6 separate regions of the Mus musculus genome follow, and all the other regions are reported to be linked to region 1. Evidence: microRNA targets listed by miRTarBase, many of them from high-throughput screens and not tested one by one. Region 1 holds a microRNA gene; each other region holds the end of a gene's coding sequence. Distances are between the middles of the regions.

The links. Region 1 holds the annotated microRNA mmu-miR-206-3p (UGGAAUGUAAGGAAGUGUGUGG, at 2,387-2,408, shown strand). A microRNA usually pairs through its seed, bases 2 to 8, with sites in the 3' UTR of a target mRNA and lowers its output. Matches are read on the target gene's strand: a 7mer-m8 pairs with bases 2 to 8, a 7mer-A1 pairs with bases 2 to 7 and ends in A, and an 8mer does both.
Region 2: miRTarBase lists Pax3 as a target of mmu-miR-206-3p. Seed matches in the 3' UTR shown: 7mer-m8 at 2,651-2,657 and 7mer-m8 at 1,659-1,665.
Region 3: the mRNA of Smarcd2 is a reported target of mmu-miR-206-3p. The part of its 3' UTR that is shown has no 7-base or 8-base seed match.
Region 4: miRTarBase lists Adar as a target of mmu-miR-206-3p. Seed matches in the 3' UTR shown: 7mer-A1 at 1,000-1,006, 7mer-A1 at 1,523-1,529 and 7mer-m8 at 3,010-3,016.
Region 5: miRTarBase lists Tgoln1 as a target of mmu-miR-206-3p. Seed matches in the 3' UTR shown: 7mer-A1 at 2,305-2,311 and 7mer-A1 at 2,520-2,526.
Region 6: miRTarBase lists Notch3 as a target of mmu-miR-206-3p. Seed matches in the 3' UTR shown: 7mer-A1 at 1,326-1,332 and 7mer-A1 at 1,468-1,474.

The regions. Positions count from the first base shown.
Region 1 is chr1:20,676,669-20,680,755 of GRCm38, forward strand. Mir206 (microRNA 206) reads left to right here and starts at 2,342; the gene lies at 2,342-2,414. All of the region lies in intron 2 of Lincmd1 (long intergenic non-protein coding RNA of muscle differentiation 1), which reads left to right.
Region 2 is chr1:78,099,823-78,103,909 of GRCm38, forward strand. It overlaps Pax3 (paired box 3), which reads right to left. Exons shown (of 8, transcript NM_008781.4): 8 at 1,445-3,752. The coding sequence ends at 3,486. Among named protein-coding and RNA genes, the nearest start is that of Pax3, 95 kb to the right of the region's middle.
Region 3 is chr11:106,260,592-106,264,678 of GRCm38, forward strand. It overlaps Smarcd2 (SWI/SNF related, matrix associated, actin dependent regulator of chromatin, subfamily d, member 2), which reads right to left. Exons shown (of 13, transcript NM_001130187.1): 10 at 4,081-4,087; 11 at 3,842-3,964; 12 at 3,604-3,705; 13 at 2,580-3,528. The coding sequence ends at 3,475. Psmc5 (protease (prosome, macropain) 26S subunit, ATPase 5) reads left to right here. Exons shown (of 11, transcript NM_008950.1): 3 at 262-331; 4 at 594-691; 5 at 832-1,119; 6 at 1,315-1,441; 7 at 1,527-1,717; 8 at 1,813-1,911; 9 at 1,990-2,100; 10 at 2,206-2,292; 11 at 2,418-2,521. The coding sequence ends at 2,471. Among named protein-coding and RNA genes, the nearest start is that of Gm23645, 2.4 kb to the left of the region's middle.
Region 4 is chr3:89,750,406-89,754,492 of GRCm38, forward strand. Adar (adenosine deaminase, RNA-specific) reads left to right here. Exons shown (of 15, transcript NM_001146296.1): 14 at 223-350; 15 at 524-3,050. The coding sequence ends at 770. It overlaps Chrnb2 (cholinergic receptor, nicotinic, beta polypeptide 2 (neuronal)), which reads right to left. Exons shown (of 6, transcript NM_009602.4): 6 at 3,043-4,087. Among named protein-coding and RNA genes, the nearest start is that of Chrnb2, 12 kb to the right of the region's middle.
Region 5 is chr6:72,608,393-72,612,479 of GRCm38, reverse strand. It overlaps Tgoln1 (trans-golgi network protein), which reads left to right. Exons shown (of 4, transcript NM_009443.3): 4 at 370-4,060. The coding sequence ends at 375. Among named protein-coding and RNA genes, the nearest start is that of Tgoln1, 6.6 kb to the left of the region's middle.
Region 6 is chr17:32,118,422-32,122,508 of GRCm38, reverse strand. It overlaps Notch3 (notch 3), which reads left to right. Exons shown (of 33, transcript NM_008716.3): 33 at 1-1,689. The coding sequence ends at 689. The region is part of intron 1 of Gm38585 (a long non-coding RNA gene); the gene reads right to left. Among named protein-coding and RNA genes, the nearest start is that of Gm38585, 7.3 kb to the right of the region's middle.

The DNA of each region.
Region 1 (4,087 bases):
CCCCAGACCCTCCCCCACCCACCCACTCCCATTTCTTGGCCTTGGCATTCCCCTGTACTTAGGCATATAAAGTTTGCACGACCAATGGGCCTCTCTTTCCACTGATGGCCGACCAGGCCATCTTCTGATACATATGCAGCCAGAGACACAAGCTCCGGGGGTACTGGTTAGTTCATATTGTTGTTCCACCTATAGGGTTGAAGACCCTTTTAGCTCCTTGGGTACTTTCTCTAGCTCCTCCATTGGGGGCCCTGTGTTCGATCCAATAGCTGACTGTGAGCACCCACTTCTGTGTTTGCCAGGCCCCGGCATAGTCTCACAAGAGACAGCTACATCTGGGTCCTTTCAGCAAAATCTTGCTAGTGTATGCAATGGTGTCAGCGTTTGGAGGCTGATTATGGGATGGATCTCCGGGTGTGGCAGTCTCTAGATGGTCCATCCTTTTGTCTCAGCTCCAAACTTTGTCTCAACCTTCCATGGGTGTTTTGTTCCTCATTTCTAAGAAGGGGCAAAGTGCCCACACTTTGGTCTCAAAGTCATCTTTGAGAGAAGACAACATCTCCTTTGACCTGAGTAGCCCGCTACAGAGTTATCTGTCCCTGGCACTGTGCTTTGGATAGACCAATCCACCAAATGTGCAGGAAGTTTGGCCATAGATTCCCTTACATAAAGCTTATGCTTAATCCAAGAAGAATGGTATCCTTTCAGAGCAGAAAGAATCTTAAACAGCCAATAGATTACATTAAGTGAATTACTGGATTGTTCCCTGTGTCATGCAGAAAGATTTTGACTAGTATGCTAGTATGCCTGGATCATTTTCCTACACACCTAAGGGAGGGAAACACACACACACACATGACTTCTAAATCAATGCAATACCAGCATACCAAGCTCAAAACTGCAGAAGGATGAAAATGGAATATAAAACCTTTGTGTCCTTCCTTCTTTCCTTCCTTCCTCCCTTCCTTCCCAACACCTCTTACCTTCCAAGCTCTCATAAAGAAAGCCTGGACTGATCCAAGGCTGTTCTTCCAATCTGGTTTGATTTTTCTTTTTTTTTAATAATTTCCATTTGCATATAAGTAATTTAATTCACTTCTAGAGCCATATCTTCATGTGTAAAACCAGAAACAAGCGGGTAAAACAGTTTCACATAGATATGAGGATTCAAAGAGCTGGCATAGGGAAGACATTGAAAATGATCCTGTCATATAAAACTTATCTGAAAAAAGTTACTTTTTATTATTATTAAAAAGTTATTATTGTTTGTTGATTGTATGAAGCAGCCCTCACAGAGCTATGAGCCAGTTCGGGACCCTTCTTCTCCTCTTAGCTTGCTTCTCTATTTCCTGACAGAGAATTCTATGCCAAGAAGTTCAAACCCTTAATTTTCCCCATCCAGGGTGATCAGTCAGACCCTGAATGGCTCAACAGCTGCCAGTGTCCATTCATCTCCTACAGCCCAGGCCTCACAGATTGTGACGCAGGTGATTGGCCACGAGCAGCAGGGGCTGAACAAAAAAAGATCCCTTCCACAATGAACAATTGTGTTGGAATGCTCATCTGGCAGCTGCAGCCTGTCAGCATATTCCAAGCAACCCAAATAGGAAGTACAATAGCGCCTGGGCCAGCCTCTAAGCTGAGCAGTTCTCCACATGTTACCCCTGTTTTAATGTTCTATTAGTTCCATAATATTAAGGAGGAAGAGGGGAGGGGGGATGGGGAGGGGGGAGGAAGAGGAGGAGGAGGAGAAGGAGAAGGAGGAGGAGGAGGAGGAGGAGGAGGAGGAGGAGGAGGAGGAGAAGGAGAAGGAGAAGGAGAAGGAGAAGGAGAAGGAGAAGGAGAAGGAGAAGGAGAAGAAGAAGAAGAAGAAGAAGAAGAAGAAGAAGAAGAAGAAGAAGAAGAAGAAGAAGAAGAAGAAGAAGAAGATGAAGAAGAAGATGAAGAAGAAGAAGAAGAAGAAGAAGAAGAAGAAGAAGAAGAAGAAGAAGAAGAAGAAGAAGAAGAAGAAGAAAAAGAAGCATTTTCAAATCCACCCTGCAACCTGCACCCTGGTAATTATAGTGATAACACAGGTTGCCTGGCCATAACTACGCTGAAATCTCTAGTGGCCTTTGGGGGAGCCTTGGGGTCCTTGATCTCAGACTGAAGTGTATAGGGGGAAATTTGTTCCCAACAAGCTCTGCCTGTTAGGCCAAGATGGCACCTTACTCCAGGATAGTTTCTGGGAGTGTAGAATGGATGAAGTCAGGTCCCAGAGATTCTTCACACTTCTCACTTGTGCAAGGAAGAAAGCAGCTTTTCCTTCTGCGTGACAAGTGCCTCGGAGGACACAGCTTCCCCAGGCCACATGCTTCTTTATATCCTCATAGATATCTCAGCACTATGGAATGTAAGGAAGTGTGTGGTTTTGGCAAGTGCTTCTTCAAGGCCGATGGCTCCACCCAGAGAATATGCTGTTGACTTCTTCGTTCCTTGGCTACATTTTCTTACCTGCAGGTGCCCTCTTCCCCAGAAATCTACCTCTACAGACTTCTCCCACAATACTGGGTTTCAGGTCAACTATGCTCCCCATCCTAGCCCCTTTATACCAACATCCTTCACATCTACTCTCAGGGAATCAGCTCCCGGGGTCCTAGTTCCTTCCTCTGCTCATATGGCTCCTGCAATGGATGTTTCTACCAAGCAAGCTCAGGGATAGTTCATGGTGCCAGGTGTGTGACTTGTGTTATAAACAGAGAGTATACAACTACTGGGCTCTGAAGAACACCACCCTGGTAGAAGGCTCCACATCTCCTGGCCCTGCTGCTGTTCTTTCTACTTCACAACCCCATGTCAGTGTGTTGCTTCTGGGTCACACTGTCTGAAGAAAGATGGGGGTCCTAAAATAGTGCTGCAATCATTCAGTGGCCTAAGTTCCTTTGTTCTCAACCCAGTGCCCTGTGTTCCCAGTTCTGACTCTAGTGTCTAAGCTCATGTCATGAAGGAGGTAGACTCTAGAGGGAAACCGAGAAGAGGCGCTGTAGTGATATGCCAGATGCAGGCTAAGACTCCATTAAACATGCAGCCTGAGCTCTTACCCAAAACAAAATGAAGCACCATGGCATTTGAAGACTGGCACCATGCCCAGAAGCCCAGAATGGCAAAAAAGGAAGATAAAGGATATGTGTATTTCCTGGACCCTCAAAAACATCAGCATACCGAACACACTGGGCAGTGTTCATACTCCCAAGTGAGATGCAGCCACACTGGGGACCACTACATCCCTCTTTCAGGAACCAGGTAGTTCCCTAGCTACCATCATGAGCATGCCACCCTATTCTTCTGGGGATAGGTGAGAGTGTGGAACAGGGGTGGTGGATGGGGGGAGATTAATAGAGAAGGGCCAGTTAGAGGACTGAGCATAGGATCGTACCACTGTGGATCAGTTCCCAGGAAGTGGGTAATTTGGAAAAATTGTTGTCACACTTAGGGTATTCCTGGTGTCTAGGGTGTGGAGACCAGGGGTGCAACGAAGCATGTATAGTGTACAGACCATCTCCATAGCAAAGAAGTACCCAGGTCAAAATGTCAATGTGTGAAGATCGAGAAAACCTGTATTTATTAGTATGGTGTCCGACACTGGCATTTTCCAGGAAAAAAAATCTCTGTCCTTTCTGTTTTAGACTTCAGTCTTTTTTATATAAAATATCTGATGCTTCAAACTGAACTTCTTTCCATTGACAGCCTATCTTTTTTTCTAACTAGCCCATGGATTTTTTTTTCTACCCTGGTGTTTGGTTTCATGTCGTTCTGAAATCAGAGATATGTTATATAGATGGCTGTGTTGCTGAGGCTGGATCAAAAGACATGGGCAAACACAAGGAAAGAGTTGGGGGAGCTGTGTTCAGAATTCTTTTTCAGAAATAATCTCAGACAGCCAGGCTGTCTCTGCCCCTGCAGTTGCCTGGCTTCTTGTTCCCTAACATAAGCTGTGGACAAGATAGACATGGGAGGAGATAGAGGGCAGGAGTCACAAGACGCCTATCATTAGAAAAAGGACAGTGGAGAAGGTAAGATTGTGACAGCCAAGCCAAGAAGATTCACA
Region 2 (4,087 bases), 57 Mb from region 1:
GGAGACTTTGAACATGAGAACTGCCAACAGAGCAATAGTTTCGAAGACATCCAGAAATAAGAGAAGGGCATAAAGACATATATCAGAAGGAGAGCTGGGCCCCACATGGCAGGTCCTGGGGTCAGGAGGCAGGCAGGAGAGGGCCCTGGGAAGACCAGCTTCTGTTGTGAAATCCGAGTCCTGGCAGCATGTCTCCATGCACCGAGAAGGAATTACTTTTTTAAATGCCTGTTTTCAACTTGGGTTTTGGCACAAGACTCGTATAATGCAACGAGTATCTGAAGCAGCTTTTGGAGAGGTAAAATTATGTGGCCCCTACTCCGACGTTTGGTAGAAATTGAGCTTTGCTTTTGCTGCTCCTACGTGCGGTATGAGCCCAGCCTAACCTAACAACTCTGGACCTGGGTCCACTTGGCTGTAAAACAGAGCAAAAGACACTCACCTCACAGGAGTCCTGTGAGAACTGACAAAAAGCAAGTGTTTGGTGACAATTATCTTCCTTTTCTACAACTGTATTATTTAAATTTTAAAAAAAAGTAATTGTCAGAAAAAGAGCAACATGGTGGATCAGAAGGGCAAGTGGAAGCTGAAAAGAGTATAGGCATTTTTAAAATTTGGAAACTTTTACCTACTGTATATCATTTCCTCTGGATAGTTAAAATCCCATGTGTTTTAAATCAGCTGACCAACAGAACTCCCTACCACAACGTTCTAGAATGTTCTACATCAATGCTACCCAATACAGCAATTTCTTGCTACAGATGATTGTCACACAGTTGAAATGACATCACATGAGACATTGAGAGGAGTAAGTGAATACAAGAGTTTAGTAGGTGTTGATTAATCGCCTTATAATAAGTAACCATCCAAATGTATTGAAACAGAAGTTCAACCCCCTGACTCATCACGTTGTGCCGTCGCAATGCCAGTGTCTAGTGTTACACCTGCCACATCTAGACTCTCATGAAATAAGTGTGGGGAGGAATAGGGGAAGAAGAGAAGGAAAGGAAAACAATGACAGAAGTAGACTATTTCCTTCCAAGGCTGAAATGAGTTGCTAAAACAAAAGTCTTTAAAATAAAATTTTCAATGTGGAGAACTTTGGGAGATGAAGTTAGATCCTGGTGTACTGAGATACATATTTATAAATGAGGCTGAAAGGAATTGACATCTCCGAGAGAACCAAAGAAACCAAAGAGGGTAGATGGAGAGGGAGGGCGCACTTCTAGATTCCACATCCCTGATATTGTAAACTCAGTCCTGCAGAGTGTGTTTAAGCCAGCGTCTTGGGTTTATATGTAACTCTTGTCCATGTCACAGTCTCATGTACCAGGGACCAGGAGTAGGATGGGTCCACAGTGCCCAGCTTAGCCACCTTTCTCATTCACTCTGCATTCCATCCTCAGCACCCCCCCCCCCCCCACACACACACAAAAGCAGTGTTGGGCACATTTTCATTAACTGTTTATTCATTATAAATAGTAAATATTTACTGCACTTTTTACATGAAAGACATTTTTACAACACATCATTGTTGGTTGAGGCTGCAACACAAAGATACTATGTCTCCTGTTCCATCACCCTGCCCAACGTATAAAATAACTCAGTTCTATGTCTAGTCCTGCTAACACACTACCTCATTGTTCTTAAATCTAAAGGGAATGTATTTGTGCCTACCTCATTCATGGTTCCAAGAATAGAAAGAAATAAATAACAGCACCGCCCACCTTCATCTTTCTCTTAACATTTCAAAACACAGATTTATTGACATCCTAAATGTCACCACATGAATGTATGTAAACCTGTTCCCTATATCCTTTAATATTGGGTATCGTTGTATAATTTAAAAGTACATGAGAGCCACGTGGACATTTCTGTTCTAGCCCTGCCTTTTGTAGAAAAGAGACGAATGTAAACACCATCTCTGTAGAGAGCTTGATTCTCAGACATGGTCTCTGAACAAAAGGAACAAGCAGGATGTGAGTTGTTTGGCAACGAGCAAACATCACTGCACTCTACTACGATGAGTTATGGGCTGCAAAAATAAAAACACCTGCAAAAATATAGTTCTGATTTCATTTCTATCACCTTGGCCATTGCCAAAGCATCTGTGAGGTACACAGTATTGCACGCTGAGAAGCAGATATGTGATGGGTGTCACTTCCTCTACATCATACCCTTCCCCCCCCCCCACCAACTGGCCTCCAAATCAATGTGACTTGGGAAGTAAATGACATCCATCTATCCCCACAGCAGATAACACACTTTTTTCTCATTATCCCACATCTTTTTACAAGACATGTCAGGGACATCGGTTGATAACTAGGTTACAAATGAAGGTATGGTAATAATTTACTGGGGAGATCCTTCACATCTAGTCTAGTGCCCTATACAATGGTGGTGTTGGTTTTCATATCGGTTTCCAGTGTGTCAAAATCAAGGATTTCTCCATTCCCAATTCACTACATAAGCAGTGTGAATGTCATAAACTTGGTCAGCCTTAGACATCAAACCTGTTAACTTTCAGGAATTCAACTACAATATATGGGAACATTCTGCTTACTCAAACCACCCCGTGAAAATCAATCTCTCTCTCTCTCTCTCTCTCTCTCTCTCTCTCTCACACACACACACACACACACACACACACGGAATGTTTTAGCTTCTTTGATCAGCAACAAAGATTTGGGGCCATTTTGATATGTAGCCAGTTACATCACTGTCTTAAAAATGGTGCATTTTAGAGCTCTGGGTCTTCCTTGTCTCCCCTGCCTTTTGTCCAATATGTTCAAAGAATCTGAAAGCAACTACTGGAGAAAGAAAATCAATCTCTTTTGTCTCCACCTCCCCCAAAAGCTGAATTTTTTTTCATTTATTTTTTGTTTGTTTTTAAATTTTTTTTATTGTTTTGTTTCTGAGAAGATTCTTCATGTCTAGTCTGTGGAGGCCGGAAACAGGGCTCCAAGTGGACAGTTCACTTATGCAATATCTGGCTTGAGATAATGAAAGGCACCTGTAAGGAAACACACGCAGCTTTTTAGGTCATGCTGGGACAATTCACAGTTAGGGGCAAGATCAGCTACAGGCTGACAATGTCATATTTAATACCACGGTATCAAAGGATCGAGACTAATATTTTTATTCCTGAGACAAGTTTGACACAACTCTGTGTCCTGGGCTTATCCCCATATGATCCTGGCGCTGACCTCATTAAGAACATGTGTTTCTAATGCTAGAGGTTATTTCATTTTGGCCAACCTCTGTGTTTTACCTACTGACAATCCGGTTTTCCGTCCCAGCAATTAATAACTGCAAGATGTTATTGACATCAGTTAAGCAAATAATTACACAAGGGAGCCTGTGCTGTAGCAATCAGCTGTCTTTGCCACAAAAAAATGATACTGGGATGAAAGGCTTAAACATGCCTCCAGTTCCCCGTTCTCAAGCAAGAGGTGATCTCTCTCCCTTCCAGGAGGAACTACCCCCTAGAACGTCCAAGGCTTACTTTGTCCATACTGCCCATACTGGTAGCCTGTGACAGGGTCCATACTGTAGCCTGCGGTGCTATAGGTGGGGGGACAATAGGGCTGAGATGTGGGCAGACTGTCCACATTCTTCATATGTTCCAGTCTCTGACTGCAGCTGGCTGACACCGTGGTCGTGGGTTCCAGGCCCCCAGTGAGAGGGGAGAGAGCATAGTCGGTCTGAGGCTGGTGCGGTACCCCACCGTGGTTGGTCAGAAGTCCCATTACCTGCAATGATGACGGGCAGAGCAGAAGTTAAAATGTGGGCAGAAACAGATGGCAGCCCCAAAAACAGCGCAAGATCTTGAAAGGCCAACTTTTATGTCTCTAGACAGCCATTGAGGAGCTTTTCTGAAGGCTTTGACCCCAATTCAAAGTGGCAGCCACATGACCTCACCCAAGATAACATCTGACGGCAGTTTCAGCAAAAGGAAGGGGAGGGAGAAGGAAAAGAAGGAAGGAGAGGAAGAAGACAGGAGAAGGAGAGATTACACCGTGTCTGCTGTGATAACATCAGACTGGAATTTCAAAAGAAAAGCAAAGAAGCAACAGAGGGAGATGTT
Region 3 (4,087 bases), not on the chromosome of region 1:
AAATCTAACCCTCTTAAACCATAAAACAGTTAATTTAAAAAAAAAAGTCTCAGCCAAGCCGAGCAGTGGGGTGCACGCCTTTAATCCCAGCAATTGGGAGATAGAGGCCGAAGAGTGAGTTCCAGGACAGCCAGGGCTACACAGGGAAACCCTGTCTGGGGGTGGGGGGAGGTGGGGAGTTGGAGAAAGAGAGTCTCAGCCAAGATCCAGTTTCCTACAGGCTTTGACCTTGAGTAATGGGGTTGTCTCTTGTCTCCACAGTTGATTGTAAATGATAAGAGCCAGAATCTCCGTAGACTGCAGGCACAGAGGAATGAGCTGAATGCAAAAGGTGAGAGGGGAGAAGATAGAAAAGTCAATGTTGGTTTGAGGCAGGGTTTAGGTGTCCCCATCTTTGTGCAGCGCTCAGTCTCCTCTCAGTCGACAGTGTAGTCTCACTGTTGTCTGTGGCTGTTTCCCGTGCACATCTCTTCAAAGCCCTGCTGGAAGCCCTTTTCAAGTCTTAAGTTCTTTCATCCCTTCCAAGTGTTAAAAAAATGGTCCTTCGGTGGCTGATGTTTCTTTAATGGTTTGGGGGTGGTTGTTGTTTTTAGTTCGCCTGTTGCGGGAGGAGCTGCAGCTGTTGCAGGAACAGGGCTCCTACGTTGGAGAAGTCGTGAGGGCCATGGATAAGAAAAAAGTATTGGTCAAGGTAAAAGCAGCATGCCGCCGCGGCCAGGCTCCTAGTGCTCCCTCCCTGTCACACTGCCCCCAAGCTTCCCTGCGGGAATCCTGGTTGGGGTGGCTATGCTGACCACCGAGGGAGATCATAGCCCATTATTATTTTCTCAGGTCCATCCTGAGGGCAAATTTGTTGTTGATGTGGACAAGAACATTGATATCAACGATGTGACGCCCAATTGTCGGGTCGCTCTAAGAAATGACAGCTACACTCTGCATAAGATCTTACCTAACAAGGTGGACCCTTTGGTGTCACTAATGATGGTGGAGAAGGTGCCAGACTCAACCTACGAGATGATTGGCGGCCTGGACAAGCAGATCAAGGAGATTAAAGAAGTGATCGAGCTGCCCGTGAAGCACCCCGAGCTCTTTGAAGCACTGGGCATCGCACAGCCAAAGGTACCGTCAGCTTTAGCCTCACACTGACCACAGCCAGCAACAAGGTTTCCAGAGCAGTAAGCTAGTTTGAATACACAGTCCAGGAGAGGCATCTCCCTCACCTCAAGCAAGGATCCAACACAAAGCCCTCACGTGGGCATGTTCCGTAAGAGAGTTGCCCTTTTCCCCTGAGTGTAATGTATACTCTCCCTCTAGGGAGTCCTGCTCTACGGACCCCCAGGCACTGGGAAGACATTGTTGGCCCGCGCTGTGGCTCATCATACAGACTGTACCTTTATTCGTGTCTCTGGCTCTGAACTGGTACAGAAATTCATCGGGGAAGGTAACTGGCTAAGACTGTGAGGAGTGAGTGGAAGGGTAGATGGTGGGGTGCACATAGCTCTAATGCCGGGTTGGCCTTTGCATAGGGGCAAGAATGGTGAGGGAGCTGTTTGTCATGGCCCGAGAACATGCTCCATCCATCATCTTCATGGACGAGATTGACTCTATTGGCTCCTCACGGCTGGAGGGGGGCTCTGGAGGCGACAGTGAGGTACAGCGCACGATGCTGGAACTGCTCAATCAGCTGGATGGCTTTGAGGCCACCAAGAATATCAAGGTGAGATGGTATAAGCCTTAGACAAGCCAGCGAAAGGTGTGAGGCGGATGCAGGCCTACGAGCTGTGTAGCTGATCCCACTCCTTCTTTTCCCAGGTTATCATGGCTACTAATAGGATTGATATCCTGGACTCTGCCCTGCTTCGTCCTGGGAGGATTGACAGAAAAATTGAATTCCCACCCCCCAACGAGGAGGTCTGTGCTGGAGGTGCCTGGAGGAGCTCTGGCTATGGAGACAGTGCAGGGCTTAGGGCTTTCTTCTCTTATCCCTAGGCCCGGCTGGACATTTTGAAAATCCACTCTCGGAAAATGAACTTGACCAGGGGGATCAACCTGAGGAAAATTGCTGAGTTGATGCCGGGAGCTTCAGGGGCTGAAGTGAAGGTAACTGGAGGCTTCAGGGGAGCAGGGCAATAGCAGGAAGCCTTAAGAGCCAACTCAGGGCTAAGGGGCTCCAGCAGCAGGGTCTGAGCTTCTCTGTCCACCTAGGGTGTGTGCACAGAAGCTGGCATGTACGCCCTGCGGGAACGGCGTGTCCACGTCACTCAGGAGGACTTTGAGATGGCAGTAGCTAAGGTATATGTGCCTCCACTTGTCTGCCTTTGCTGTGGTGGCTCTGGAGCAGGGGTCACGCTTGTGTTCACAGTTCCTAAATCCCTGCTCACCCGTGTATATGCACTCTCTTCTCTCTCCCTCTCCAGGTCATGCAAAAGGATAGTGAGAAAAACATGTCCATCAAGAAGCTATGGAAGTGAGGCTGTGTCCTTTGTGTGCTCCCCCCCCCCAACCAATAAAGGTCTGTGTGATGATAAACACTACAACTCCAGTTTGTTAATACGCGGTTGCACTGTTCAATGACCAGGTCTGGGCACCACCAATAAACAAAAAGATTTATTTGGAATTTTCCAAGTTTGCCAAGCCTTAGGCCCATCCTCTTTAAGACCGACTGCAAAAGGTAACAGCAGTCCTCCAGCTTTCCCCTTCCCCTGCAGCACGCACGCACGCACGCACACACACCCCTGCTGTAACTGGGTTAGAGAACTGGCATTGCCACTCTCAGGAGATTCCACCTCCCCCTGCCCAAGCAGCTATGGGTGGGCAGCCTTGTGGCATACCAGGAGATGATGGCGGCTGCAGCCGCTTGCATAGATTAAGAAAAGAAAGGAAGAAGGAGGCACCAAGTGGGCTCCCTGAAAAACCCCATTACCTCTGTACAAAAAAGTGGCTCCCACATAGAAAAACCTGCTCCCCAAATAGTGCAAATACCCAAAAAGAAGGACAAACCAGCAGCAAGACTGGGCTTGTAGGAATGGCAAAAAACTTTGGTTAGAAAGGCCAGGAAGAGTCTAGGGCCTTCTCTTCCTTGCCCAGCTCCCCAAAGCCAGCTCTGGCACTGGCCCTAGGGTGGAGCCTGTAAACATGCAAACCCAGCAGCCTTTGGTTTGGAAATGTCTGGTACAAAGTTAAAGCACAGCCTCCAGCCTCCTACTCAGGCCTGCCTGCCTGCAGGGGGCTGAGGCCGCTCATTGCAAACCCAATTAAAGCCAGCGCTAAAAGGTCAGTAATAAGGCTTTGGGAACCAAGCAGTGAGGGATCTAAAACTACATTTATGAAACTAAAGCTGGGGAGTGGAGGGTGACAGGAAACACACCTCACTCCATCCTACATGTCTGCAGCCCAAGCCAGAACCCAGAGGACGGGCTCTTGCCAGGTTCCATCCAGGGCAGGGGAGGAAGGAAGGAGGCAATCCCTGAGCAGTTAGGTCAGGCGAATTCCCAGCACCTGTTCCAGTTCCTGCCTTCGCTGCTGCACCTGAAGAAGACGACAAAGCAAGCCTCAGGCTTCAGCTTCTCAAGAAAAGCGGAGGCCAAAATGGCAAAGCCTCACCTTGGCAAAGATGTGCCTCCCCACTGCTTCCTGAGCCCAGGGCTGGTGGTAGAAAGCAGCTCGTCTCTCCTCCTCAGGGTTTCCAATCACATCTGTGATGATCTGTGAAGAACGAGGGGTTAAGGTGTGTGTGGCACGATTCCCACCCCTGCCTCGGTCAGTCTACCTGAGACATGGGGTAGAAAAACTTTTACCCACTATGTTCCATGGAATACCCTTCAAAAAACAAGAAGTATACCTTGAGGTCTCGGCGTTGGGAACGGAGCCACTCCTGGATGAAGTCCTGGGGCTCGGTGCTAAAGCTGAGCATGAAATCCCTCTGGGTCTTTAGCTGGTTGATGGACTCAATGGTCTCATGGATCTGGAGAAGGGGTGTCTGTGTCAAATGTGCTCCAGCTCTAGGGTCTGAGGTCCTGTCAGTGTGCTGGGTGAAAGGAACAGACCAACTCACCCTCACCCTGGCCCCAAAGGACTCACCTTGACG
Region 4 (4,087 bases), not on the chromosome of region 1:
CTGTGGAAAGGGAGCCTTTGCTGGGGAGTCAAGAGCAAGCTTTTCTTCCCTTTGGGTGCGTGGACTTAGACTCTCGGTCCTTAGCCTGAATAGTGGTTAAGTCAGTGCAGCTCACAAGGGAAAGATGAGGCCCACATACTCCTTTCCCAGAAGTCTTGCATGCCTGCTCTGAACCTTTGCCCTGAACGGCTTGCCTCTCTTCCATCACCCCGTGGTTCCTAGGTCGGCCGAGTCAGTGTTTATGATTCCAAAAGACAGTCCGGAAAGACCAAGGAAACAAGCGTCAACTGGTGCATGGCTGATGGCTATGACCTAGAGATCCTGGATGGCACCAGAGGCACTGTGGATGGGTAAGGAGTGGGAGGGCACAGGAGAGGCCCAGGCAGGCTTCCTTCCAGACGCCCAGGGGCAGGCCCCTGCCTGCTAGTACTGAGTTCAGGGCCATCCACCCTGTGCAAAATCCACACCTTAGCCCCCACCTCACCTGCTCCCAGATGAATAACACGTGCCTTTGTTTCCCCAGACCAGGGAAAGAGTTGTCTCGGGTGTCCAAGAAGAATATTTTCCTTCAGTTTAAGAAGCTCTGCTCCTTCCGAGCCCGCAGAGATTTACTGCAGCTCTCTTATGGTGAAGCCAAGAAAGCTGCCCGTGACTATGACTTAGCCAAGAACTACTTCAAGAAAAGCCTGCGAGACATGGGCTATGGGAATTGGATCAGCAAACCCCAGGAGGAAAAGAACTTTTACCTCTGTCCAGTACCCAATGACTGATAGTGGGGCGCGTTTCTCCTGGGGTCAGAGGGCGGTCATGGCATTCCTCATCACACCGGGCCAGAGGATAGGAGCTTTTTTTACCCACTCCCCCCTTTTTTAATGGTAGAACCATAATAGATGGTACCAAGAACTGCTTTCTTTGGGATTTCAAGGTGGGGTCCAGCCAAGTCCCCACCTCCCTTTTCTCAAGGGAAGAGGCCAAGATTAAAGGAAATGGAAATGCTACCATTCCATATGTAGCACAGACAGTTCTTGGTCACATGGAGCCCAGGCCCCTCGGGCTTCGTTTTGCGGAGGTTTTTTTCATCTCCTTTTCCTTTGCTGCACTGGCCTCTTGTGGGTTTGATTCCATCCCATCAGTTCTCTGTAAATGATGTCAGGGGCCAGTGATGTCACCTGCAGATGCGCAGGCAGGCCCCTGCTCTGTCATCCTTCCCTCCTAGGATGCCTTCCTGTGATGAGGTTTCTCCTTCCCCACCCCAGAGGATAGAGGTGAACATAAAGGATTGGTGAAATGTTTACAAGGGCAGGAGTTGACAACCGTGGTCAGGGATTGTCGAACAACAGGAATGTGGTAAACTGTGGTTGGGACAGGCAAGCCCTACCCAGTAACAGGCCGTGCTGGCCCACCAAGGAACTTCCCTTCCTGGGCAGCAGGGAAGTTGAGAATCGGCCAGTGGGACCGAGGAAGGTACCCAAACCAAGCACGTCCCAGTAGGGGTCCACAAGCACTAACTAGAGTGCACCAGCATTCCATGGAATGTCGCTATGCCTCCATCTGCCCCTCCATGAGCACTCCCAGAAGCTGGCCCTGGGCACGTGTGGTGTTGGCCCCAGGCCCCAGCTGTTTGTGAAAAGCAGAGGGTGAGCATAGTGGGCAGAGCAGCTTTGCCCAGACGGCAAAGGTAAAGGCAGAGCATCCTGCCGGTGCACTGGGATTCTTCTGGTCTCAGCAGAAGTGACAAAGCCCTGCATAGAATTAATGTTTCTAAAAGGCCAGAGGCATTGATTCTGAACTGCATCAAAGACTGGAGATGCAAATATTACTTCTCCATTAGTAAATGTACTTTCATTCTATCAGATGGCTTCAGAAGCTGGGTCACGGACAGGGCACAGGGCCCTGGAATCTCTGCCCTGCTCCTTTGAGGATCTTCATTTACATACAAGTGTTGTAGGTGGCAGGGCAGGCTGGCCTCCCACTCTGGGATGGGCTTCTTTGACTCCTCCCCCTCTGACAGTGACTTGTGGGTATGTGGGAGCCTCTGTAGAATCTGGTTCTAGCATCAGATCAACCAGCCAGACCCTGCTCCATTCTGCCCCTCTAGGACCAAGCCCACCTCTTTCCTCTGAATGGTGTGGCTCCATCTGGAGACAGCTGGCCAGTGTGTTCAACAGTTTCCTGCACCCCCTTGCTTAACCCTCAGAGCTGCCTGGTTCCCCCACCCTCTGGCCCACTGCCAACAGCAAACATCACATTCGTACTTCAAGTCTAATGGCTACTGCCTCCTCAATCTATGAACAGATCTGGCCAACACAAGAACCTGTGTCTTCACAATACACTGGGGATGTCTTTGCACAGCCAAATCATCCTATGAAACTCCAGCGTCTGTGGAAGTGAGAAAGCAGCACCATGCTTGTGGTGTCGGCTGGAGGCGTGTCACCCTCCGGCAACTGCATCTGAAGCAGAGCCCTTGTGGTTTCCAGGCCTGGACAGGGAGCTCTTCCCCTGGGGTCTAAAGGACAGAGATGTCTCTCCCTTTGATTCCTTTGGTCCCTCTGGTCCTCCCTGGGTATTCACACATACCCCAATCCTGTCTAGACAACGAGTGGTTCTGGGTTTCTGCAGATGGAAGAGAGCAAGGTGTCCCTGAGTTCTGTGGACTTGACCCCCGCATCCCACCCTGACCCTGCCTCCAGTCCCGCTGGCCGAGGGCAGAGCCTCCTCCCACTGTGCTTCCTTCACGTTTACTTTAAGAAGCAGGGCCTCCCTCCACACCGTCTCTTAATACTTTCTGTAGTTGATTTGTCTGAACCGTGGCTGTCTTGCATTCCTTGAATAATCATGTGTAAGAATTGTCAATGCTTGAAACTATTTCCTGTACTCAAGTTGAAGGGACTTTGTTGGCCTTGGGGTTTTAGCAGTGACTCCAAGAGCAGAGTGGGGAAGCACCCAGGCATAGCCTTGGCGCTGTGATGGATGCAGTCCCTCCCTCTGTCCCTTTACAAGTGACAGTATACATTCCTAAAAATAAAAACACTGAAGCATCAGGACTGTTACAAAGTTTTATATCTTGGTTCTTGGGGGAGGTGAGATTGGGAACAGGGACCTGTGACAGGATCTCTGGCCACAGCCACAGTAGTTTCAAGGGCCCCACTGCTTCTACAGTCTGACTGTAGTTCAGGCAGTGTGATGTGCCAGCCAGTTGGGGACTCGGCTATGTCCTCAGCACTTTCCCTGCTTCAAAACTTTTCCCACCTGAGCCCACTCTGTCATCTTTTGTTCCTAGTTTGGGGGTTGTGGGGCTTAGTAGATTTCAAAGCCCCAAATGAGAAAACAGCACTGGAGACAGCAGAAATCTCTGCTCCTGCCAGTCTTGCTGGTGTTGCTCTCCCCACAAGCCTCGGCCTTTACTGTCCTGTACGTGCCCTTTGGAAGGCAGTTGCAGCTGGGACCACGACACATTCAGATGCACCTTTTAACTTTGTGGATGGCATCGAAAGTCCCCCTCTTAAATTTTAAGGAAACCCAGCTCTTAGTAACTTACTTCAGAACTCCTGGAAGACCTATCTTTGACCTTTCAACAGTGACAACATACCCAAAGACACTGAGTGTGAACTCTCTCATAATCCTTTAGACAGATGGGTCAGCTGAGGTCAGAAGACCCAGTGACATGTTTTGGGGCACAGCACTTAAGTCCAGGGCTTCATGTGGTAGTCACTCCCTGTTTAACTGAGCTGAGCAGTTTTAAAGGCAGTTCGAGGTGACAACTCCTGCTGTCCTAAAGTCTCAGTGGCTCTGTCCTCCAGCAGCCACTGGGTCCAAATTCGAGGAATGGAGTATTCCAGTTTCTGAGGGTGTATCCAGCTTTGTGGGCTAGAAGTGTTGCTCAGGATAAATTGGCATCACGTACAAGTGGATTCCGTTGATCCCTGGCCCTCAAATTTAAAGATAGATGGTTTCCTTAAAGCCTAGCTGAAGGCCCCAAGGGCTCACCCACAGATTCACTCTGATCCCAGGATCTGAGCACAGCCTGTGCAGTGGGGGTCTGCCAGCTCACTGAAGCCTGGATATTTTAGAACCCAGACTGGAGAGG
Region 5 (4,087 bases), not on the chromosome of region 1:
CTTTCAGGTCCATATCTTATTTCTTTTCTTTTTTTTTTTTTTTTTTTTTTTTTTAAAAGATTTATTTATTCATTTTATGTAAGTACACTGTAGCTGTCCTCAGACACTCCAGAAGAGGGCGTCAGATCTTGTTACAGATGGTTGTGAGCCACCATGTGGTTGCTGGGACTTGAACTCCGGACCTTCGGAAGAGCAGTCGGGTGCTCTTACCCACTGAGCCATCTCACCATATCTTATTTCTAATTGACTTTAAAACTCACTATTGTGACTCCTGCACTTTTATTAATGGCGGTGGATGACTTTGTCTTACTGACATATCTCCCTGAAAAAGATGAGTGTTATCAACCGAGTGTGTTGTTCTCGTTTCAGCTTTGATCTTTACTTTGTCTGCAAGAACCGTGTCCTCCCTGCTGATTTGTTCCCAATGAAGAGAAATGAAAAGACTGTGACCTCCTCTGGGGTTTGGTGGCAAGTCTGGGCTGGCAGAGATGGGATAGCTTCAGGTTTTGCACCGGCACTTTGATGACACTCTCCTCTGGTGATGTTTTATTTACTTTTGTGTTCCTTGTATGCTGACGTGTTCCATCATCCTTTCTTCCTTGGAGTGCAAACGGAAGAAGCACATGGAAAAATGGATGTGACCAAAGGAAGACCCCACCTTAGGCAGGCCACACAATGGACCACCTTTCCACAGCCTCTTTATCTTTGCAACTCTAGGCGCAAACTGTAGAGAGGTGCTTTCTAGACAAGATGTAGATGGTTATGTGGGATACTGATGGGCAGAGATGGGGTTGAATACTTATTCTCTACAGAAGGCTCAGCTGCAAACCAAACTAGCAGGTTAAAGAGTGTTAAAGTCTGGTCCATCTGATAGTCTGTATATTTCTCTGAAAGTTTGCATGCTAGTTGTACTAGCATAAAAGGGACTCGAGGCTTCTGAAAGTAAAATCACTGTTTGATGGGATTTTTTAAAAAAATGATCATTGAACAAGTGTGTTCTTGCATACATTCACCCCAATAGGAACTTCCTGGAAAGGGACAGGTTCATGCTTTGTGGAAGAAAACACATAGGAGGGATTTAGTATGCAGGAAAGAGGTTTTCTACAAATTGAGTTTTGCTTTTATTGCCCGCAGTAGATAGATATTTAGAAACTAACTGCATTCTTCACACTCCTCCTTGCTGTTTAAGATGTGCAGGGAATAAGGAAAATCTTTCCTATCCTGTCATATCTGGTCATGAAACTGTAGGAAACTAAATAGGTTCCCTGAGATAACTGAAGATGTCTTGGATTATGCTGTGTCTAGCGTTTTATTCCAGTCTGTATGGTTACGCCTAAAGAGAGAAAAGTCTCAGCTAATCTCAGGGATGCAGAGAGAACGAGAAGAAGAAAAGTATGAGTCCTGTGCTGTTGGGGAAATCAGTCTAAGGAAGCAATGGTCTTGGAGGTCTTTTCCAGTGCTGACTGCAGCATGGGCTTGAAATTGAAGTATGTATTCTTGGCAGGTGGCATTCTAGAAATAAGGCCATGGCTACTATTGTCTCAGCTGTCCACAAGTCTGTTACTTTTTTCCAAGCCTTTTTCAGTCTCCTTTAGCTTTTCCTAACACCTCTTTAGTTCCCCACTTCCATTTTTTCTTCCTCTCTATAGACCTGTTTGTACATCTCTGAATGAACACCTTCCTTATAGCCTGTATGCACGCCCATACCTATCCTGTTCTAGTTGGTGTTGCTTCTATTGCCTTCCATCCTCTTCCTGACATTTGCAGGGTTGCCTTGGTCTGATTTCCTCCTGTTTCTCAAGGTTTACTCAGTTAACAGATCACCAAATTCAGCAGCTCATTTTCACAGCTTGTAACCCTTGGTAATAATGTTGGATGCCGGGGCCTATGCATGTTGACATTCTGGTTGTCTCTTGCAAATTATCCTTTGCCTTATCTCATGGGGATGGAGGAGGGTACCCAGGTCTCTGTTGCTTTGACTGTCTCAATAAATCCATCCATTCTTTATCCTCTCTGTGACGCTCATGTTTTTTTTGGCCTCCTTCCCAAGAACCCAGTTCTGCTAAATAACTCAGCCACGTTGTCTGCTTGTCACACAACCAGAGTTTCTCTCTTGTATCTATTACGTTTCTCTATCTATCCTTCACTTTCTCTAATCATCTGAAAACTCCACACTATAAACTAAAAACATTTTTATCATCACAGAAGTCCACTTTTTTTTTTTTAAAGAAATTATCTAGGTATACTCTCCGCTAATTTTTAGGAACCAGCTGAATTGACCTTACCAGTTTTGGAAACATTGATCATTCCAGAATGTGCCCCGGTCTGAAGCTTCTGTCTGAGGTTATAATCTAGACTACAGATTCCTCCTTGGCTGCACTGCGACACTCACTCCGTCTCTGCCTCTGCCCTCCTCGTGTCTTTGTATCACAGCTTTTCGGGGTTGCTCTATGGTTAGGCTGTCCCCTTCTTCCAGCCTTCTCAGGCCCTTGTGCTTGGAATATGCATAGTGGTCCTTCCATTCCACACTGATAGCTTACTGTCACTCTCATCTTGGAACTTCAGTGTGACATAGTTCTGATGTTCTGTGATCTCCCCCCAAGAAAACTAAGCTCTGAGAGACAGCCATTGTCATTGTTCTATCAGCCAGAGACCTTAGGGGTCAAATTTCTTGTTGGAGGTGTAGCTGAAACTGGGGCTCACATAGCTCTTCCTGGATACTGTTTGCTATGACCTTATACTTGTTGGCTTTTGCTCTTGAAGGACCGGAAGGAAAATTGATTTTTAGCAACAAAGATTGACAGTGAGTGGACAGACATGTGAAGGATTGCCAGAGTCTCCTCACCCTCTTTTGGCTGCTGACATGTTCCTTGTGCTGACAGAGTACAGTAGAATTTGTGTTCACTTGAGAAGTTGCACTGAAGGAAATGGTTCCCACCAAAGAAAAGTTCTTTTTAGGAGTTTTGTTTTGTTTTGTTTTTTGAAGGTAGAATACTTGAAGCATATTTGCTAGAGTGTGTGGCAATGGTCCAGCTGAGGTGTCTATACCAGGGATTGGGTTGGCATGTAAGAAGCATATGAAGTCTCAAGTAGCACTCTTGTGGACTTTTCTGAGCTTGCTCTCCTCAGTGTTTGGCTAAAGGGCAATTTCTTAAGGGGAAGCTGCTTGAGGTATAACTGTTAATAGTTTGTTTTCCTGCTGTGGACTAAAGAAGCCAGCTCTGGACAACAACTAACAAAATGTGCTAACATGTTTCCCCTAGAAACAGAGCTCTGTGCCCTTCAGAGTTCCTCTGGTAGGGATGCACTTTCTCTTTTCTTCGGGGCATGGTATGCTTTGCACATATCATGAGCCGTTCGAAAGCAGAGAAGGGTGTGCCAGGCCCTGTACCATAGTTTCTCAAAACTGCTTACTAGGAGGGTTCTGTTTGGCATTGCCTTAAGAAAGCTGTAAAGAGTCAGGCGTGGTGATGCATGCCTTTAATCCTAGCACTCAAGAGTCAGAGGCAGAAGGATCTCTGAGTATGAGGCCAGCCTAGTCTAGAATACCAAGTTTAGGCAGCCAAAGTTACACAATGATAGCTTGTCTCAAAAAAAAAAAAAAAAAAAAAAGCAGAAAGCTGTAAAGAGATGTTGAAATTTAAATACATCAAGATGGCTCAGTTTGTTTTGTTCCCTGCTCAGATGTGATACTAAGTATTTTAGCTTAGAAACTGTGAGTTTGGATCTCAGCTTGCATAGCATAGCAAACTACCCATGAAGCTGGCCTCCTCACACTGTTAGGAATTTAATTCAGACTACCATGTTAAGTGAGTGAATGTTGAAATTTTTTTCCTTGTCTTGTGTTCCCAGTTAGATTGCTACTGTTAGCCATGTTTGGTATTGTCACCTTTTTTGTAACTTAACTGTAATGGCTTAATTTTATTTTTTTTAAAGCTTACTGTGGTATAGTAAGTATTTTTCAGTATATTTTACTGAGCTTCTGTAAATGGAATCATAGCATAGTTTCATGTCATTATTGAACAGAAATCAATAAATTTCAGATATCAAAGCATTGAAACATTACATGTATTAATACTATATTTAA
Region 6 (4,087 bases), not on the chromosome of region 1:
CAGGACCTCTGGCAGACAGCTCTGTCACACTGTCACCGGTGGACTCTCTGGACTCACCACGGCCTTTCAGTGGGCCCCCTGCTTCCCCTGGAGGCTTCCCCTTGGAGGGCCCCTATGCCACCACGGCCACCGCGGTGTCCTTGGCACAGCTAGGCGCAAGTAGGGCGGGTCCTCTGGGGCGCCAGCCTCCTGGGGGCTGTGTGCTCAGCTTTGGTCTGCTCAATCCTGTAGCTGTTCCCCTCGACTGGGCCAGGCTGCCTCCACCTGCCCCTCCAGGGCCCTCATTCCTGCTGCCCCTGGCTCCGGGACCCCAGTTGCTCAACCCAGGAGCCCCAGTTTCTCCCCAAGAGCGGCCCCCACCCTACCTGGCTGCTCCAGGACATGGAGAGGAATATCCTGCAGCAGGAACCCGCAGTAGCCCCACCAAGGCCCGCTTCCTGCGGGTTCCCAGCGAGCATCCTTATTTGACCCCGTCTCCTGAGTCCCCAGAGCACTGGGCCAGCCCATCCCCCCCATCCCTCTCAGACTGGTCTGACTCAACACCTAGCCCAGCAACTGCTACCAATGCCACAGCCTCTGGAGCCCTGCCTGCTCAGCCACACCCCATATCTGTTCCCTCCCTCCCTCAGTCCCAGACTCAGCTGGGACCCCAACCAGAAGTTACCCCCAAGAGGCAGGTGATGGCCTAAGTTCTTGGATTTGAGGGGTGCTGAAGTGACACTCCTCTATGACTTCTTTCTTCCTCCTTTTTAATCTTACTCTCATCCCTTTCTCTCTGTCCCAGCCTTCCTGCACCTCTCTGTCTTGTAGTGTGACCAAGTTGGTCACCAGCCCAGACCCCCAGTCTTCCTTTATTTATAATGGGTAGGGGCTGACCTTCCACCACCTTGGCCCCCTAAGGGATCTGGGACCTCCTTTTGATCCCTCTCCCTGCCTCAACTTCCTCCCCCCCCTCTTTCTGCTTCTCATTGTCTCACACTCTGACAAGAGTGAGTTATTATTTTTTTCTTTTTTACATTTTGTATAGAGACAAATTCATTTAAACAAACTTATTATTATTATTATTTTTTACAAAATATATATATGGAGTTGCTCCCTTCCCCCCGCTGCAAATTCCTCCAGCGCCCCCGTGGGGCTGAGTCTGTGGGCCCGTTTGGCCAATCCGGACTCTGTGTACTGAGTACACAGATATGACTAGGGCTCCACGTACTGAGTATGTGGCCCTCGTATGTACCAAGTAGCCAGCCTTGGGCACACCCTCCCCTGGGGTCAGGGGACATTTGGGAGCCTCCTTCCCCTCCCCATTCCCCTTCCTCACTTCACTGCATTCCAGATAAGACGTGTAGACTCACTGGGAAAGGGGTCTTGTCTGCTCAAAGCCTCAACTCCAGGCTCACCTCCCAGAGCCTGGCTCACCTTTTAGGGCCTGGGGTGGGGGGGCACGTCAGGGGAGATGTATTTTGTATGCATTCCACTTCTAATTGTAAATACAGGGCAGAAGGTGGGAGTGGCTCTCCCTCTTCCTGTTGTTCTCTTGGCTCAGCCTGCCTAATAGAAATGTTTTTAGGCTGTTTTTGTAATATGGCACCTGGTCACAGTCCTTTGTAGCTGAATTCCCAGGTCCTGCACTGTACAACCCTCACCTTCTCAGTTCCCTTACCACCTAATAAAGGAATAGTTAATACCCAAGTGTCTGGTTTCTGTGCAAGGTCCAAAGTGGGGGTTTCTGGGCCTCTTCCTCCACAGGGCTAACTTGAACTCCCATCTTGGGGCAGAGCCATGTGCTTTGTCAGTCCACCTTTGACTCCTTTTTGGTCAGGTATCTAGCTTCATTTCTGTTGCTTTAAGCAAATACCTAACAGAAAAGAAACTTAAGGGACAGAGGGACTTTTTCCTAACTAAATATTCCAGGTTACAGTCCAACATTGTGAAGAAGAGGCAGGAACTTAAAATAGTTCACCACATCACACCACAGTCAAGAGCAGAGAGAAAGAAGTGAGTGGATGCATGCTTGCTTCCTTGTGTCGGGCTGAATCATTACACTCTTAAACAGTTTAGAAACCCTTGTTTGGGGAATGATGCCACCCACAGTAGGCAGTGTCTTCCCACATTAATTTGACTTAATTACGACAATCTCCTAAAGACATTCTTTCAGGTCAACTCGATGTAGACAACTTCTGTTCCCAGGTGATTTGTAAGTTCTGTCATTGTGACAAAACTGATCATCATATCAGGTGGTTTCAATTTTTGAATCTTGGGTTGGAACCAATAAAGGGACTCAAAACAAAAACAGGCAAACAAACCAAAAGGAAAAAAAAAAAACCTACAAAACTCAATAGTGTTATTTTGAGAACTTACTTTTTTCTTTAAAAATTTTATTATTATTATTATCATTGTTGTTGTTTTTTTTTGTTTGTTTGTTTTTTGAGACAGGGTTTCTCTGTGTAGCCTTAGTTGTCCTGGAACTCACAAAAGAAAACACACAAAATAACACCAAACCCAGTACACAGGAAGCAGGCCTGGCTCACCTGCAGAACTGCCCGAACAAGGCAAGACAGCCTATGGGACAGCAAAACAGGGCACAAAGAATGAGAGCCCAGGAGAGAGAGCAACAGACAGAAGAGACAAACCCCTAGGCGCCACCAGAGAATGATTGCCCTGGAGGGGAGAAGGTGGAGTACTGGGTGCTGGGAACACGCCACACACACACACTCTGTGTGCTGGTGTTTGCTTTGTGCTAAGCCACTGAGCTCAAGTGCTTGCGGTTTGCATCCAGAAACTCATCCAGTTGAGCCAGTATTACCCCCAGAGCAATGTGATGGAAATCAGCAGTGGTTTGAATCCAGAAATATAAAAACGGCACTTTTTTTGCTCACCTATCTATTCTAGACTTCTGTGCACTGATATAGGTTCCAGGGTCTCAAATCCCTTAAAATTCTAATCAACTGTGATGGGCCAGGCTGGAAGCAGCGATGACACGCGTCCTGGAAACCCTGCCAAGCTGTCCTGTACCGCTGCTTCTGCGTGTGTTGATAATTAATCCTTCGGAGCGGGCGCACGAATGTGAGAAATTGGCTATTTTCCGCTTCTGAATGATGGCTCTGAGCCACTACGGCAGCTTTTCCATTTCAAATCTGACTGTCAAAAGTGGTGCATTAATCAGTATTTCGTTAGTTTCAACATTTCCAGAATCCGCCTCCCCAAGTGCACATACAAAGTGCAGCCATCCTCAGCCGAGAAGGCAAGGGCGGGGCCTTGCTTCAGGTGACGACTCTTTCTTTCTCTTTGCACCACTCCATCCTCTGAGAGGCTATGGCTGTGACTCCGGAGCTCACTTCCCTGCAAAGTAGTGGCTCTTGGCTGAGTACTTCCAACAGGGAGACAGAACAGGACCGGAGGGTGGCAGACGGTGCCTCTATCCAATGGCCCCCTGGGTGACTTCCCCAGAAGCACTTTATTATTATTATTATTATTATTATTATTATTATTATTATTATTATTATTGGTGTGGTTAGTTGTTTTGAGACAGGATTGCTCTTTGTAGCCCAGGCTGGCCGTGAACTCAGAAGTCCACCTGCCTCTGCATCTGGTGTGCTGATTCTGATGTCACCACCAGATGTGAGCCTCCACCATCAGACTCACATCCACTACAGACGACCTGAATGTCTCAGCCAAGCTGTATACTAGAGAAAGTGGCTACTGTTACAAAACTCAGTGGAGACACAGCTCTAGCAGATGTAGGTCTGGCTGACCACATAAGCACTGACTAGTGCTGGAGACACACTGGTACTGAGCGACAGCTGTGCTGAGAACCATATCTGGCTGAGGTGCTGCTTGGGTCAACCTCTCAGAGTGTCCAGCAGGAGGCAGGGCTTCCAGACCTACTGATGGATGAGTCTGGGGGCTGGGCAAACTGGACAGCATTATTCTGTGGAGAAGCCTTAGACTGTCCCCCAAAGTAAAAGCACCCCAACCAGCCTGTTATACTTCCTCCCTCCCACTGTCAGGGCCACCAACGCCCAAGAGTGCAAAAGGCACCCAGGAAAGAGAAAGTTAAAAAAACAAGGGAAGGTTGATTTTCCTACTT